Notamacropus eugenii: one gene and its partner. The protein of the gene in region 2 purifies or fractionates together with the protein of the main gene of each other region. This does not show direct contact. Links are inferred from orthologs where the notes say so. Each region holds a gene or a part of one and is shown on either strand. Other genes may lie near its edges. The genes, in order: GEMIN2 and NCKIPSD.

Region 1 (7,551 bases), about 320 Mb from region 2:
GTAAAGCATTCAACACTAAGCCTGACACATAGTAGGTGTTATATTATAATTTATACTATTTTGATAGTTATTATTAATTATTTCAGTGTAATACATGTTCAGGTGGGTCCTACTAAACTGAAAAGACTCACCTGACAGACTGTATTTCTTGTTTGAAGTCCAGCCAAGCTAAATTTATGGCAATTACTAGGTTGGTGAGTAGTGATGAATTTGTGGGCCATAGCAATTTTTGAAGATAGAATATTAACTTGTAAGAGGGTTTCAGTGGTGAAGAAAGTATACCTACACCATTGTAACCACAAATCTGTTGAGTATTGAAATGACATACATGCATGGTGACTTTAGTACTGCTGAAAAAGCAACGTGGTTTTTTTTTTTAGAGTACTTGAGGGTTTCCTGGGTTCCTTGATAATTTCATAGCCTATTATTTGAAGTAATTCACATGCTGAAGGGCAAGAACAGCTTTAATAAAGTTATGTTTTACTTTCCTTCATGTTGTATGGATTTTTTTTCCCACCTTTGCATTCTTCTATGCTATTTCCTCTTCCTCTGTCAACATATATCAGGACAATGCTGTTAAGGTACAAATGTGGTGATCCTAACTACCTTAGTTAGTGAAAAGACTTGTTAAAAATTCTGTGTGCTCCCAAACAAAATATTTTTATTCAAGTGAATTCTTTCAGAAAGATTTATGTAATGAGGCTGACTTGATTTGGTTCACAGGGAAGATAGAATAGATACATCTCCAAAGGCCCTTCTCCAAGGGAGATTTCATTTCTTGCCAGGGGGGGAAGCAGGAGGTTAGAGGAACAGAGCCTGACTGCTCTGATGTTCTTAGAGTGAGGGAATACCAGGCTAGACTTATATTAAATATTATTAGCCTAGGAAATGGAATTTTTAGGTTCAAGCTAAATTCCTAATTGCTATTCATTAATGGTGAAAGAAGGACCCCAAGTTTAATATCCAAGACTTGACCCTTTTCCCAGCAAATACCAGTTCCATAAGGAATATACAAAACAAAAACAAACAAAAATAAAAACCCACCTTTTGAGCTGATAGAAAATATAAACCAGAGAAGGTATACATATGAGAAAAGATACTTCAATAACACAGACTGAAGGAACTCTCCCATTGGATCAAAGTTCTATATGTCACCTTCTTGCCAGAGTCTTTCTTCTTTCATGGTCCCTAGGAGAGTTCCTCACGTGGCTTCTCTCTCTACACTGGAAGCTACAAGTAGGAAGAGACTGAAGATCTCTTTTTTCTCCCCTGTCTACAACTGTCCCCTCATGTATTCTCAGGGTATTGATCTCCACAATGAGGAGAGAGTCCCATACCATTGGGTTCTGGGATTCAAGCTTACATTCACACATCCTTTTTTTTTTTTTTTTTTGCAAAATAGATTTTAGTTCTGAAATAATATGAGTAAATGAAAAGGATAGTTCAAAACTGATATTGTAGGAAATCATGTGACCTAACATAATATGCTTAATTCCTCACTGTCTCCCCCCCTTTCCCCCACATCCCTTCAGTTGCCAAGCCTTGTTGATTTTACCTTTGCACTATCTTTTGTATAGGCCCACTTCTGTGACACTGCCAATACCCTGGGCAGGTCCTTATCATTTCACACTCAGAATAGTCTTCTTGTCTCTGTTCATTCCAGTCTCTCTTCTGCTCCTCTGTCAAATTGTCTAACCATGTCATCATCCAATAAGCTACAGTGGCTCCCTGTTAACTCCAGTATCAAAAATACGTTTGATTTTTAAAGCCTTTTAGAACCTGGCCCCTTCTTACTTTTCCAGGCTTCTTATATCTCACTCCCCTCCACACATTCTATGATACCATGAGATGGACCTCCATGGTGTTACTTTCAAGAGACACTACAGCTCCCAGCTTGATGCATTTTCACTTGCTGTCCCTCATGCCTAGAATTCCCTCCCTCCTCATTTCTGCCTTCTGATTTCCCTGGCTTCCTTCAAGTCCTGGCTAAAATCCCATCTTCCTATTATCATGAGTCTTTTCTCAGAATCCCTTTCTCTGTCTCTAGACTCAGCTCTAGATAGTCCTTGTTTAGTACTGTCTTGGTCTTTCAGAAAGAACATGGACCTTTTCCCTAGAACTGACAGAGGTTTTTCCAGTGCTTCTTCCCTGGAGCCTTAGTTTTGATTTGCTGTCACTCAGCAGGAGGTGGAAAAGCAGGGTATTCTTGGCAAACTAGTGAATTTGAGATTTACTTCTCCTTTATACATAATTGAGAACTCTTGGTAAGAAACTTAATGTGACTATTCGGTACATTTCTTACATCTTCATCTCTATAAGCTAGGCTGTTACCAGGAAATGGCTGTTTCCTTAATGTAGAATTCAGGGTTCCCTAGTTTTTTAAAAATTCTAAATACAGACAGTTCTCACTTTACAGAAATAGATCATTCCGTGGACCTCTGTGTAAAGTGATTTTTATGTAATGCGAATTCCCCCCCTCCCCAGCCTATATAGCAGAGGCATATACAAAATAATTTGTTGCTGTTTAATCATATCTGATTTGTCATGACTACATATGGGTTTTTCTTGGCAAAGATACTGGAATGGTTTGCCATTTCCTTCTTGAGTGGATGAAGGCAGACAGAGGTTAAGTGATTCACCTAGGTTCACTTAGCTAGTGAGTTTCTGAGACAGCCTATGACTTCAGGTCTTCCTGACTCCAGGCCCAGTGCTCTATCCATTGAGCCACTTAGCTGCCTCCAAGGCAAACAGAGGTTAAGTGACTTGCTTAGGGTCACACAGCTAGTAATTCAGATATACCTGACTCCAAGTCTAGTATTCTGTCCACTGAGGTCTAGATACCTCCTACAAAGTAATACCTTTATGCAAGTCATAAAATATACTAAAATGTAGACATAATAAATACAGTGCCATGATAATGAAGAGCAATGAAATGACAGGAAAAGTTAATGATAAAGTGTGTACAGCACTATACAGTAAAATTAATATAGGTATACAGTATGTTGCCCCTTCCAGTTGGCTGTACAACTTTTTAAAAATAAAATTATTGAGAGATGTTTAGTCAGTGGCTCTTTTCTTTTCCTTGTATGTTTGACGGTTATAAGCAATATTATCTTCAACTAGTCTTTGAACTTAAAAATCTCAAAGTATTTGGCTCCATCTTTGCAAAGCAAGAAAAAAAATTCACTCAAATTATGAAATACTTCAGCAAGCTGTTTCATTGTGAATCTTTTTGGTTTTACCTTAGTTCTGAAGCTTCCCCTTCCTCTTCTGCATTCTTTGCAGCTAGCAGCTCAATCAAATCTACATTCAATATTTCTTCCCTATAAGATTCAATCAACTCCTCCACATGTTTCTCATCTGCTTCTAGCTCCAATTCTTGTGCTAATTTTACAATATTGTTACTCACTTATTACAGTGTTTCATCTTTGTCAAATTCATGAAAATCAGGAATAAATTAGTCATACTTTTTAAAAAAACTCTTCATACATGTTTCTGTTATATCTTATCATTCCTTAGCAGTATTTCAGGTTGCATGGTAAATATTATAGGACTTCCAGAAATCTCTCAATATGAAGTGCTTATCTGCATTCAAAGCTTCAGTTGCCTGGGCAAATGAATGTGTAAACAGTATGCCTTGAAATTTACAATCACTCCCTGATCCATAACTTGAAATAGGTAGTGTTAGGGGGAAGGCAGACCATTTAACATTTTCATTAAAATCATCTAGATAGGGAGGATGACCTGGGACATTATCCAAAATAAGTAGAATGTTGAAAAGAATGCCATTATTATTATAAAACTTCTCCACTTCGGGAGTGAAGCAGCGCATAAATCCTCATTCAAAGATGATAAAGGTTATCCATGCCATAGGGTTAGCAAAATAACGCACAGGTAGTGTGGCTGTGCTGATTCCTTTCAATGATCTGGGATTTTCCAAGAGATGTATGTACAAGAGCAGGTTTTAATTTGCAAGTCCCAGATATGTGCCCTCCAAGCAGAAGAGTAACTCTGTTTTTTGAAGTTTTATGCTCCAATATAGTTTTTTCCCTCCACCAAGATGTAGATTTGAGATATTTGATACAATAGGCCAGTTTCATCTATACTAGGCCTGCACAACCTATGGCCTGCCAAAGGATTGTGGGTGGCCTGCAAAAAATGTAGAGGCTACATTTCACAGGCACCCAGAATCGTTTGGCAGGCTTGTGGGGTTGTGCCGGCCAGGTCTACATTAAAGATTTGCTTGAGCAAGTAGGGATCATCATCTATTATTTTTTGCAGGAAATCTGGAAACTTCTTTGCTGCTTCAATATTTGCACTAGCAGTCTCTCCTGACACTTGTACATTATGAAGTCATGCAAGATTTTTAAATCATACAAACCATCTGCTTGCTATAAATGCCTGTGTTCTTTTATGGTACTTTACTTTTAAATCTTCAAAGAGGTTTTGAGCCTTGGCTTGAATTTCACCAGACTCAAAGGAATATTCTGATTCTGGTCTTCTATGCACATAGTGAATAGTTTCTCTATCTCTAGAATAGCATCTTCTCTTTGTTTTGATAGATAAGTCAACTTCATGCAACCCTTTGCCTTTTGCAGTGCTTTATTTGGGCATCATCTTTCACTATGGTGTTTATAGTTGACACTGCAAGACTAAGTTTACATACTATTGATGACAATTTTGGCCTCCATATTTTATAATTATTTTCATTTTCCTTTCCAAATCTATTTGCTTGCGCTTATGAAATGGTTCACTTTTCCCCCTTAAGACTGACCGCATTTGTTACCAGTCATGGTGAAAGTGTAAGGATCACTATTGAACACAGGGAGAGAGGCACAGCATAACCGTATACAGACACATGGGGACAGACTTAAGATACTTCTCAGCTTCCCACCACCATTTATGCTGTTTGTATCATACTAACAGTATCTACTTTGCATAAGAAATTTTCTAATTTTTTTGTCTAATTTTTTTCGAATTTTGTTTTTCAGAACTCAGTAAAAGTTGAGTTTGCAAGAGTTTTAAAAATCTGTAATAGCCTAAGGGACTCAGTTCTTGAATATTTTGTAATCCAATGGAAGTTTTTGTGGGAAGACTGGCCAATGAGGGCCCAATCCTTAAGGCATGCTTGAATTTACTCTTCCTTGTTGGTTCTATTTCCATTCAAGTTGTGGAGCCTAGTGATTAGGGGACTGATTCAAGAATTGCTGTGAGCCATTGGGGGAGTGGGGGTGGGAGAGGCAGTAGCAGTAGATGCCACCCTGTCTTTCTGCCCAGCCACCACATGTCCTTGAATACAAACCTTTCTCTTTCCTACTTTGTTTTTATTATTACTTACTAGTATTCTTAGAAGTGAATCTCCAGGCAATCACTGTGTTCAGAGAGCCATCAAAGAGTTCTTGCCAGCAACCAGAGCCATATCACTTCGTCAGCAGTGGTGGCCAAGTCTGGTAAGAATCAAGCATAGCAGCTGTTTGGCCCAATCCAGCAATGGACTGACATGTCAGTCGGCAAACCATGCTGGCAAGGAATCAGCCTAAATGAGCAAGGGACTGACTCATCTATCAATGATACAATGCCCAGAAGCAAACCTGTTGGGGACTCAGAGAGGAGAAAAGGATTGCTCACACCAGTACTTCCACATTATGGCTTTCTCCAGCTTGGTTTAGATATATAACAGGTTGGCATAAGAAATTAAATGGGAAATATTGGGGAATTTTGTGGAAGCCACAGATGACACGTGAAGGCTGGCAGACAACACAGAAAAAGTTTAGAAACTCAGAGATGCATAAAATATATGTATAGTATTGTGTATCAACATATTTTATTTTTTAATACCATAATAATTCAGACTTCTTCTCTTTTACAATGAGAGGGCCAAAAACTTTTACACTTATTTTCCAGATCTGGGGGAGTGGCACTGTTCCCCTAATGCCAATGATGTGGAAGGGATAACTGTACTTGTAAGGTACCTCTGGATCCCACTTGTTCCCTACCTGTGTGCTTCACACCTTTGTGATCTAAACTTGAGCACATTCTCTTCAAGGACTATGCAGAGAGGAGAGTTTGCTTTGGAATTGGGGAATTGCTTTGTAACTTCTGTCTTTGCTATATCTTCCCATTATAGAGGAATTGATACCAATTGATTGGTAGATACTGGGGGGCACAGTGGATGGGGGCTCATGGGCGACAGTATTACAAATCCTAGCCCCTCAAGGTCACTCCTAGAATCCTGAGGGGAGTAAATTCATTGCCTTCTGGGGAACCTAAACTGCTGTCTAGTGTGAATTGGGAGAATTAGCAGAGAAAGGGTGTTACAGAAGTACTATAACTTTGAGACTTCCTGAACAAATATTGGCCTTTGTTTTGCAAGGCTTTTGTTTGTTTTACAATGGATTTAGCTGGCAAAAACTTGTCTCTAGAACCAGGATGTAATCATTAGCCCTTTCACTGAGAGATGATGAAATAGTACTTATGAGCTGTTAACTAGGCAGTTGAGCACTGTAGAGAGACCCTGCCTAACTACAAGAAACCTAGCAGAATTTCCATGGATAATTTGTCAGCATAAATCTGAAAAAGAAGAAATAAAGGAGACAAAGTCTTAAACTTTTTGACAGTCAAGCAGTGCAAGATTCGGTCGTGATATTTTTTTCTTGACATTTTGTAAGTGCATTTTTTTTTTAGCACTGAATAATATATTAGCATATTTTTTCCTTTTTTTTCTCTCACTGGAAACTAGGAAAAAGTAAAGAGGAATATCTATTTACAAGACTAACTGCAATATACAATGGCTATTGAACTAACAATGGAATTCATGCAATATGTGGGAAAACATATGGTTCACAGGAAAAAGAAAAAAATGGTCAGAATAGAGCGCTTGTGTTCCCAAACCATAATAATGAATTATTTTTCAAAAAGGTAAGTAACAATTTATTTAAATGAATTAGCAATTCTGAAAATTTGACATGATTTTGATTCTAATATTGAGAGAAGACATAAATATATTATATCAGTAGTGTATTACAGAGGGGTGATAAATTCATTTTACAAAATTCAGAAAGACAACTGATGATGGTTTGCTTTTATGGGCTATTGTAAATGACCTTAAGGCTAATGAAAGAATTTTATTGTATGCTTGTATGAGTACCCAGACCTTTGGTGAAATGTGTCTTGCAAGGCAATGACGACAAATGGCTACCAAGAGTAAGGCTTTTGGGGACGTTGAGTATGGCTGACTGGTTGAACAGTTATTGGAGATCATTGCTGTTTGTCTCTCACTGATTCCAGTACTACCATTGATTGATGGCTGTTGTCTATGGATGCTAAATGAAAACCTATCCTTCTAACTAGCCAGAACTATGCTAGCTGGAACTGCATGAGGGAAATGCAGTTGATAGGCTGATGTGCAGTCTGTGGGGAGAATGGAGAATAATGAAGGGAAAGAGGACAGTTTCACCCTAAGTACAATCTTTCCTGGAGGGTGGGGGCTTTCTGAATCTGAAGAACAACCTAATATTAGAAAGATTAGAAAGTCTCAACACCAAAAAATGA
Region 2 (7,423 bases):
AAGGCCTTCACCCGGACAAAGCCGAAGCAAGCTGGAACGAGGCTGGGACCCAGGAGCTCTCAGAAAAGAGGACAAGGCCTCTCCTGGGTCTGGCAGCCTAGTCACCTTTGGACTTTAGCTTACGCTTTATTGTCCTGGAACATCCTCATGGGAGCGCAAGATTTCAAAGGGAAGGGACCTTATAGGCCATCTAGCCCAAACGCCATCTTCACCATTCTACAGATGAAAAACTGAGGCCCAGAGAGGGGAAGGAATTTGGTAGAGTCACTCCATTAGTAAGTAGCAGAGCTTCATTTCTCCTGACGCCCATGTCTTGGGCTCTCTCTATCACATCACACTGCCTCCTAAGGAAGCTGCCTTATAAAGGTTAGTACAGTCCTATCCTGGCCATACTCTGAGGGGAGAACCACTCTGGTCCCACAGGTACTGAATAAGGTTGGGGATAGGAAGTTCAGTAGGTGACCCAGCTTAGAATGGGAAGATGTCCTGGAAGAATCCAGGGAGCCAAGGTTGGCACAGGAGGGGCAAGACCAGGATGGGAGAGCCAGGGACAGCAGAGGGTGCTGAGTCTTGCCTGTCTTTCAGAACAAGGACTGAGCAGGTTCACAGTGCAGAGCCTGGAATGCTAACATTGCTAGGTGCATCCCTTAGTCTAGGACTGTTGAGAAGAAAATGCTTTGTTAACATTAAATTACATTTATAGAGCATTTTATCATCACCATGATTATTAAAATGTCACAGATCAGAGTCATGAATGCGACAGCTCACGTCAGACCTGCAGGAGTACAGAATGCCTCAACCAAAGTCAGAAAGAAACATCTGGAAATCCTGTTAGCTGCCCCACCCAGAGCAATGAACAGGCTGAAGCCCTTCGGAAAGGCTCCCCAGGATCCCCAAGAGATACTGCCAAAAGGAATAAAGACCAGCCCTGTAGAAAAGAGGTCTCCTCAGTAGTGCCACTTCCTATCATCCCTCAGACACCATGGGAAGTCACTGCACCACTTGGCACCGCAAGCCTTTTGAGGTTCTTATATACCCCCCTTAATCCCACAGCGTCTAATAACCTTCTCCCCAAGGCTGATCCAACCTGGTTCACTCTACACACCCCAAAAGCAAGGGTAATAAAAAGTTGTCCTGGTTTCCCCTTCTTCCTCTACCCACTCCCTTCCCCCCAAGGCAAGTCTCACAATTTTGTCTTCAGTTAATGGCTGGCAAGACCTAAATCAGAGACATTGAGAGATAGAGAAGAAGGAAGAGGAGAAGAGAGAAAAGGAAGTGACTAGGTATCTCAGGCCTCTGCCCTGGCACTGGAGGAGACACCTAAGAAGGAGATCCAAGTGCTAGGGTCTTATCATCTAGACTTTCTTGTCCAACTTCAACCCTCCTTTCCTCAGCTCAGTTTTGACCTCATCACCAGTGGGCTGGGTGTCTGCCTGTTTCCTGAGCTCCCTAAGAATATCCTTCCCTTCCCCCACCTACTCCAGTTTTCCCCAGAAGGCGCCAAATGGACCCACGGACCAAGACCCAGACAGACAAACAGGAGAGCTCTAAATCCCTACCCAGGGAGGGGCTGCTGTATGACATTCCTTTGACAGAGCTGTTCAGGGACACTGTTGCAGCTATGCAAAGCCACACGTGCACACACAGATACAAGCAGGATCTCACAAATACTGTCAGTCATGACAGGGACTTTGTATGTAGCCACTGACAGCCATGGGAATATATAAGCTGTTACAGCTGGAAGGACCTTAGAAATCATCTAGTCCTTCATATTACAAAATGGGGAAACCAAGGCCCAGAAATGTTATATGATATACCCAAAGGTATACTTCTCTGAAGAGGCCTTATACAGGAGGCCATTGTAAAAGATTCCTCCTCCCCTCACACCTCATAGAGCTACATGAGGGGGCAGAAGTCTGAACCAGAGGTGACCCCAACAATTGTCCATGAGAAACCCCAAATGAATAGGTCAGATAGAATTGTCAAACTTCTGTCCCTGCCTCCACAATACCAAACACAGGAATTCTTCCAGGAAGCCTACCCTGATCACTGGCACACCCATTCATCTACTTCTTTCCACCACACACATTTAGGTTTCTGTCTTAAAGAATCAAGGCCTAGGCTTTCCAAAGGCAAGAATCATCCTCATCCTCAGACCTGGGCTCTCCAAGAACAGGAATGGATCTCACAGACAAATCTGACTTTTCCCAGTGGAAAAAGGTCCGTTCCTCAGACTGGAGGCTGAAGTGCCCAGCCAGCCGCAGCTGCTATTTCTCCAAATTTAAAGGGTTATTTCTGTCCTGAGAGCTGGTTTGGGAACAAAACGATGCTCACTATAGACAAGGGGCACTCCCAGTCCAACTCACAAACCTTCTCAAACACCAGCACCCCTCTCCTGGCCCTAAGGCAGAGTCAACCTCCCTTTCCCATCGGGACTGAAGTCTCACAAGAAGGGGGTGAGGGGGTTTCCACCATCACCTTCCTAAGATGTGGGGGATAACATGGGAGTGGGGAAAGAACTAGCGGGAACAAGGGGCGAGGCCAGTCCTCCCTCCATCCCACCCCCCTCCCCACAATCCCGAGAAGCCAGCCATCCCTGGTCAGGGGCAGACGAGCAGGCAGAGGGAGGGGATCGGAAGCCAAGCCTACCCCTCCCAGGCACGCCCCGGGCCAGAGCTTCCTCGGACCCCTCCCGCCAAGGTCTGGGCCCGGGGCCCCTCCGAAGGCTCCCCAGTGGCCGCGATCTTGGGGTTCCTTAGGGGGCGGGGCTCTCCCAGGGCCGAGCGATCCAGGCCCGGGGTGGGGATGGCCCCGGGGGGGCGGGATGGCCCCGGGCAGGGGGGATGGCCCGGGGGGGGGCCGCGGGCAGCGCTGACCTGCAGGCGCCGCAGGTAGGCCGGGGGCACGTAGCCGGTCTCCCCGCTGCGGGCCCGGGTCGCCAGCCACCAGTGCGGGCTGCTGTGCTCCAGGATCAGGAAGGTCTCCCCCTCGCCGAAGGGCAGCGAGTTGGGCTCCGACGAGCGGAAGGCGTACACCGAGCGGTACATGAGGCCTAGGCGCCGCCGCCGCGGGCTGGAGGGGCCGGGAGCCGGGAGCCGGGGACGCCGGGGTCCAGGGGCTGCCGCGCCGGCTCCGCCCCGTGACACCACCGCGTGCGCGCTCCCGACCCGCTCCCCCCCGCGGAGCCCCGCCCTCGTGGCGGAGCCCGGCCCCCGGGGCGCGCCCGGCCCACGCGCGACAGCCTGACCCCCCCACCCCCCCACCCCACCCCACCCCCGGGGCTCGCGTCTGTGCCTGGGCGGGGGGCTTCGGCGCAGCCCCGGGCCGCGGTGCCCCGGGGCAGACCCCGGGGAGGTGCCACACTGAGTTATCGTCACCCCTCCGCGCGTGGCTCCCTGAAAGCTGCCGCCAGGTACAGGGCACCCTGCCCCCCACGAGCACAGGGAACAGCCCTGACGCGTCACCTGAGCTAAGGCATGGATAAGACCGATTAGCCAAATAAAATGTCAGCATTTCTTGCAACCAGTCTACGTCCTAGTGGATTGACTCCTAGGCAGTTACCCCTGGTACCTAAAGATTAACACAAGGGCACGCAGCCAGGTGGCACGGTGCAGAGAGTTCATGAATTGAAATCTTCCCTGTTGCTGTCATACGTTGATGGATGGCACAGTGGGCAGAATGCCAGGCCTGGAGTCCGGAACATCCAAGTTCCGATGTAACCTCAGTAACTTTCTAGCTGTGTGACCCTGGGCAGGTCACTTAACCCTGTTTGCCTCAATTCCTCATCTGTCAAATGAGCTGGAGAAGGAAATGACAAGCTGCTGCAGAAAATCCCATGGAGAGTGTGCGCTTACGGTTCACAAGGTCACAAAGAGTTGGACACAACTGAACAACACAGCTAGGAAGTGGCTGAGGCAGGGTTCTAACTCATGTCTTCTTGATTCCAAGACCAAGGTGAAATCCAATTCATTCACACAAGGTTTTACTGGCACCAAAACTGAACCCTGAAAAGATTTTTAGAGGCGATTCAAAAAGCACATTGGTACCCTTAAAACATAGGTCTATGTCATCCCCTCATTTGAGAAGCTCCAGCGGTTCATTATTGCCTCTAAGAAAGAATACACTTTAAACCCTTTACCAACTTTCTTTCCAGAAACTATTGGATGTATTTCTGAATACATCTATCTCCTTTGCCCTGCATGCCTGGAACGTTCTTCCTCACATCTATCCCTTGTAATCCCTAGCTTTCTCCAAGGCTCAAATATTACATGTGGACTTTTCTTTAATTCATCTCAAAATGTTATACTTCCACCAGAATATAAGGTTCCTCAGGGCAGAGATTATTTTGGGGTACTTAGTACAGTGTCTTTCATATAGTGTACACAATAAATGCTTGTTCAATTGAGGAGATGAGGAGGCAGTGGTTTCCAAGCATGGTGGATAACTTGTGCAAATATATGAGGCAGGACATGAAGGACTGAATTGTTGGTAGTCTAGTTGGACTAGGATATATAGTGCATGAAGGGAAATAATGTGGAAACAAGACTAGAAATGTAGACTGGAACCAGATTATAGAGGGCCTTGAAAGAGAGTCTAAGGAATTCATATTAGAATCGAGATCCCCAGGGAAGTGTCATATTCAGACTCTTACCTTGGGGAGATCATTTTAGAAATTCTGTAAATGACAAACTGGATAAAGGACAGCCTTGAAACAGGAAGATTGGTTAGGAGGTGATGACAATATTGCAGGTAAGAAGTGATGCAAATTTGTGCTAAGGTGGTGGAGTTAAGTGAGTAGAGTGAAGGAAATGGATGTGAGGGATGTGGAAATTGAACTGATAAGACTTAGCCAATGTTTGGATGGATCCAGCGAGGGATAGGAAAGAATTAAGGATGACTGAGGTTGTGACTGAGCAGATAGTGGTGCCTTTAACAGAAATATCAGGGTAGAGAGAAGGGGCAGTACAGTGAAATTAGATATAGATTGAGAGTTGTACCTTCTGCATGTATCACCCTGGGAACATGCCCTAGTAATTGAGCCCAGTGTAGAAAACTGTGGGGCAAACACTGACTGAGCTCCAGCCAAATCCCCTTTACAAGTTCTCCCACCTAGCATCCCTGTTTTCTTTTGCCACACACACTCTGAAAGGGCAGGTTTCTCTAACAGGAGTCCAGACCTGAGTGGAGCAAAGTTATGGTTCTGACGATTGCATCCTAAGGAGCTGTAGGTGAGGCAGTGGATAGAGTGCTGGACCAGAGTCAGGAAGATGAGTTCAAATACAGCCTCAGATACTTACTAGCTATGGGACTCTAGACAAGCCATTTATCTTCTGTTTGCCTCAGTGTCCTTGTCTGTAAAATGGGGAATAGCTGCCCCTACCTTATTGTGAGGATCCAATGAGATCACTGTAAAGTGCTTAGTTACATAGTGCCTGCTACAGAGTAAGCATTATATAAATGTTAGCTATTTTTTATTATTATTATCAGTAGGAACATTTCTATACCTAGGGGAACCATACAGAACTAGGACCACCGGGAAACTGTTAACTTCTCTGTGCCTCCATTTATCCTACCTAAAATCAAACAATTGCTGTTAGGACCAAGGAGCTGGGGAAGTACTCATTTTTCTAAAGGACTCCTCTGCTCTGGATCTGTGCACACAGTCAGACTATGTTCAGTCCTGGAGAACCATGGCATCTAATGATATGAGAGCAAAACTTCCTTTTATCACCCTCTCTGGTTTGTTAAACCTCCACTCTGATGCTACGGGACCAAATTATTTAAAGCTTAGGTTTTGTCTCATGTCTAGATCTCCCTAGGGGGTTGGAGTGGGGAATTTATTTTAAAAGGATTCATATGGAAGTCAAGGGGATGTCCATCAATTGGGGAATGGCTGAATAAATTATGGTATATGAATGTAATGGAGTACTATTGTGCCATAAGAAATGATGAACAAGAAGACTTCAGAGAGGCCTGGAAGGACTTATATGACCTGATGCTGAGTGAAAGGAGCAGAACCAGGAGAACTTTATGCACAGCAACAACCACAGTGTGTGAGAGTTTTTTCTGGTAGACTTAGATTTTTGTAATAACACAAGAACTTCTTACCAAAAAAAAAAAAAAATCCCAATAGAGGATCTCAAGGCAAAATGCCTGCCACACTCAGAGAGAGAAATATGGAAGTCACTCACATATTGTAGCAGATCATGTTTGTGTATGTGTATGTGTTTGTGTATCATGTTCTGATTTGTTATACGATTTCTTTCATTTATCTTAGTCTGACTACATAGCATGACTATAGTGAAAATATACTCAATAGGAAAGTATATGTAGAATCTATACAGAATTGTATGCAGTCGTGGGGAGGGAGGGGGGGAGTTGGGGGTAGGTGGGGGGATAAAATCACAATTGTATGGCAGTGATTGTTAAACATTACAAAATAAAAATAAAAAAAAAAAAAGAAAAACTTGAGAAGACACAAAGTGGAGCGAGGAGAACCAAGAAAACACTGTACACAGTAACAACAATATTGTACTATGATCAACTGTGACTGGCTTAGATACTCTTATCAATACAGTGATCCAAGACAATTCCAAAGGGCCCATGATGAAAAATGCTATCCAGAGAAAGAACTGATGAAGTCTGAGTGTACGTTGAAGCATAATTTTTTCACTGTTTTTCTTGCTTTTTTGCAACATGGCTAATATAGAAATATTTTTTGCATGATTTCACATGTATAATTGATATCACATTTCTTGCCTTCTAGTGGGAGGGAGAGAGAGAATTCAGAAGACAAATATTTTTGTAAATGTTAAAAATAAATAATAAACATGAAAGACAAAAAAAAAAGGATTCATAGCACAATTTGAATCAGGTATGGGGCAAATATTTCTTTATAAATTAAATTTTATTTTCTCAATTATAAAGCATCTATTCTTTTCTTCTAACCTCTCCTCCCCCTGATCAAACAAACAAATAAACCCAAAATCCCCAACATACTCAAGCAAAGCAAATTCCCATATTAGCTATATTTAAAGATGTCTCTCATTCTGCATATTAGTTCATTAGTCTTTCAACTCTCTGTCATAAGACTTGTAGCATTATTCATCATTGGTCCTGTGAAAACATAGTTGATCATTGTATTGATCAGAATGCTTAAATCTCTCAAAATATTTCTATTTTGCAATATTGACGTCATAGCATAAATTGTTCTTTCTAAACATTTCACTTTGGATGAGTCCATACAAGTCTTCCCATGTTTCTCTGAAATATGTTTCTTCTATTCTTATATAGTATTCTATTATAAACATATATGTATTATATATAAACATATTTATTTATCTGTTCTCCAACTGATGGGCACCTCCTTAGTTTTTGGTACTTTCCTACTACAAAAACGAGTTGCTATAAATATTTTTGTAAA

The links.
Region 1: the proteins of NCKIPSD (region 2) and GEMIN2 purify together in Homo sapiens (co-immunoprecipitation; 3 studies listed by BioGRID and IntAct, counting the BioPlex papers as one, with this or other methods). This does not show direct contact. The link is inferred for Notamacropus eugenii from reciprocal best matches to the Homo sapiens genes NCKIPSD and GEMIN2.

Annotation. Positions count from the first base shown.
Region 1 is NC_092872.1:331,897,301-331,904,851, reverse strand, and holds the start of GEMIN2 (gem-associated protein 2), read right to left. Parts: upstream 3,178-7,551; 5' UTR 1-3,177. UniProt on the Homo sapiens protein: The SMN complex catalyzes the assembly of small nuclear ribonucleoproteins (snRNPs), the building blocks of the spliceosome, and thereby plays an important role in the splicing of cellular pre-mRNAs.
Region 2 is NC_092872.1:7,812,542-7,819,964, reverse strand, and holds the start of NCKIPSD (NCK-interacting protein with SH3 domain), read right to left. Parts: upstream 3,150-7,423; 5' UTR 3,048-3,149; coding exon 2,877-3,047; intron 1-2,876. UniProt on the Homo sapiens protein: Has an important role in stress fiber formation induced by active diaphanous protein homolog 1 (DRF1). Induces microspike formation, in vivo. In vitro, stimulates N-WASP-induced ARP2/3 complex activation in the absence of CDC42.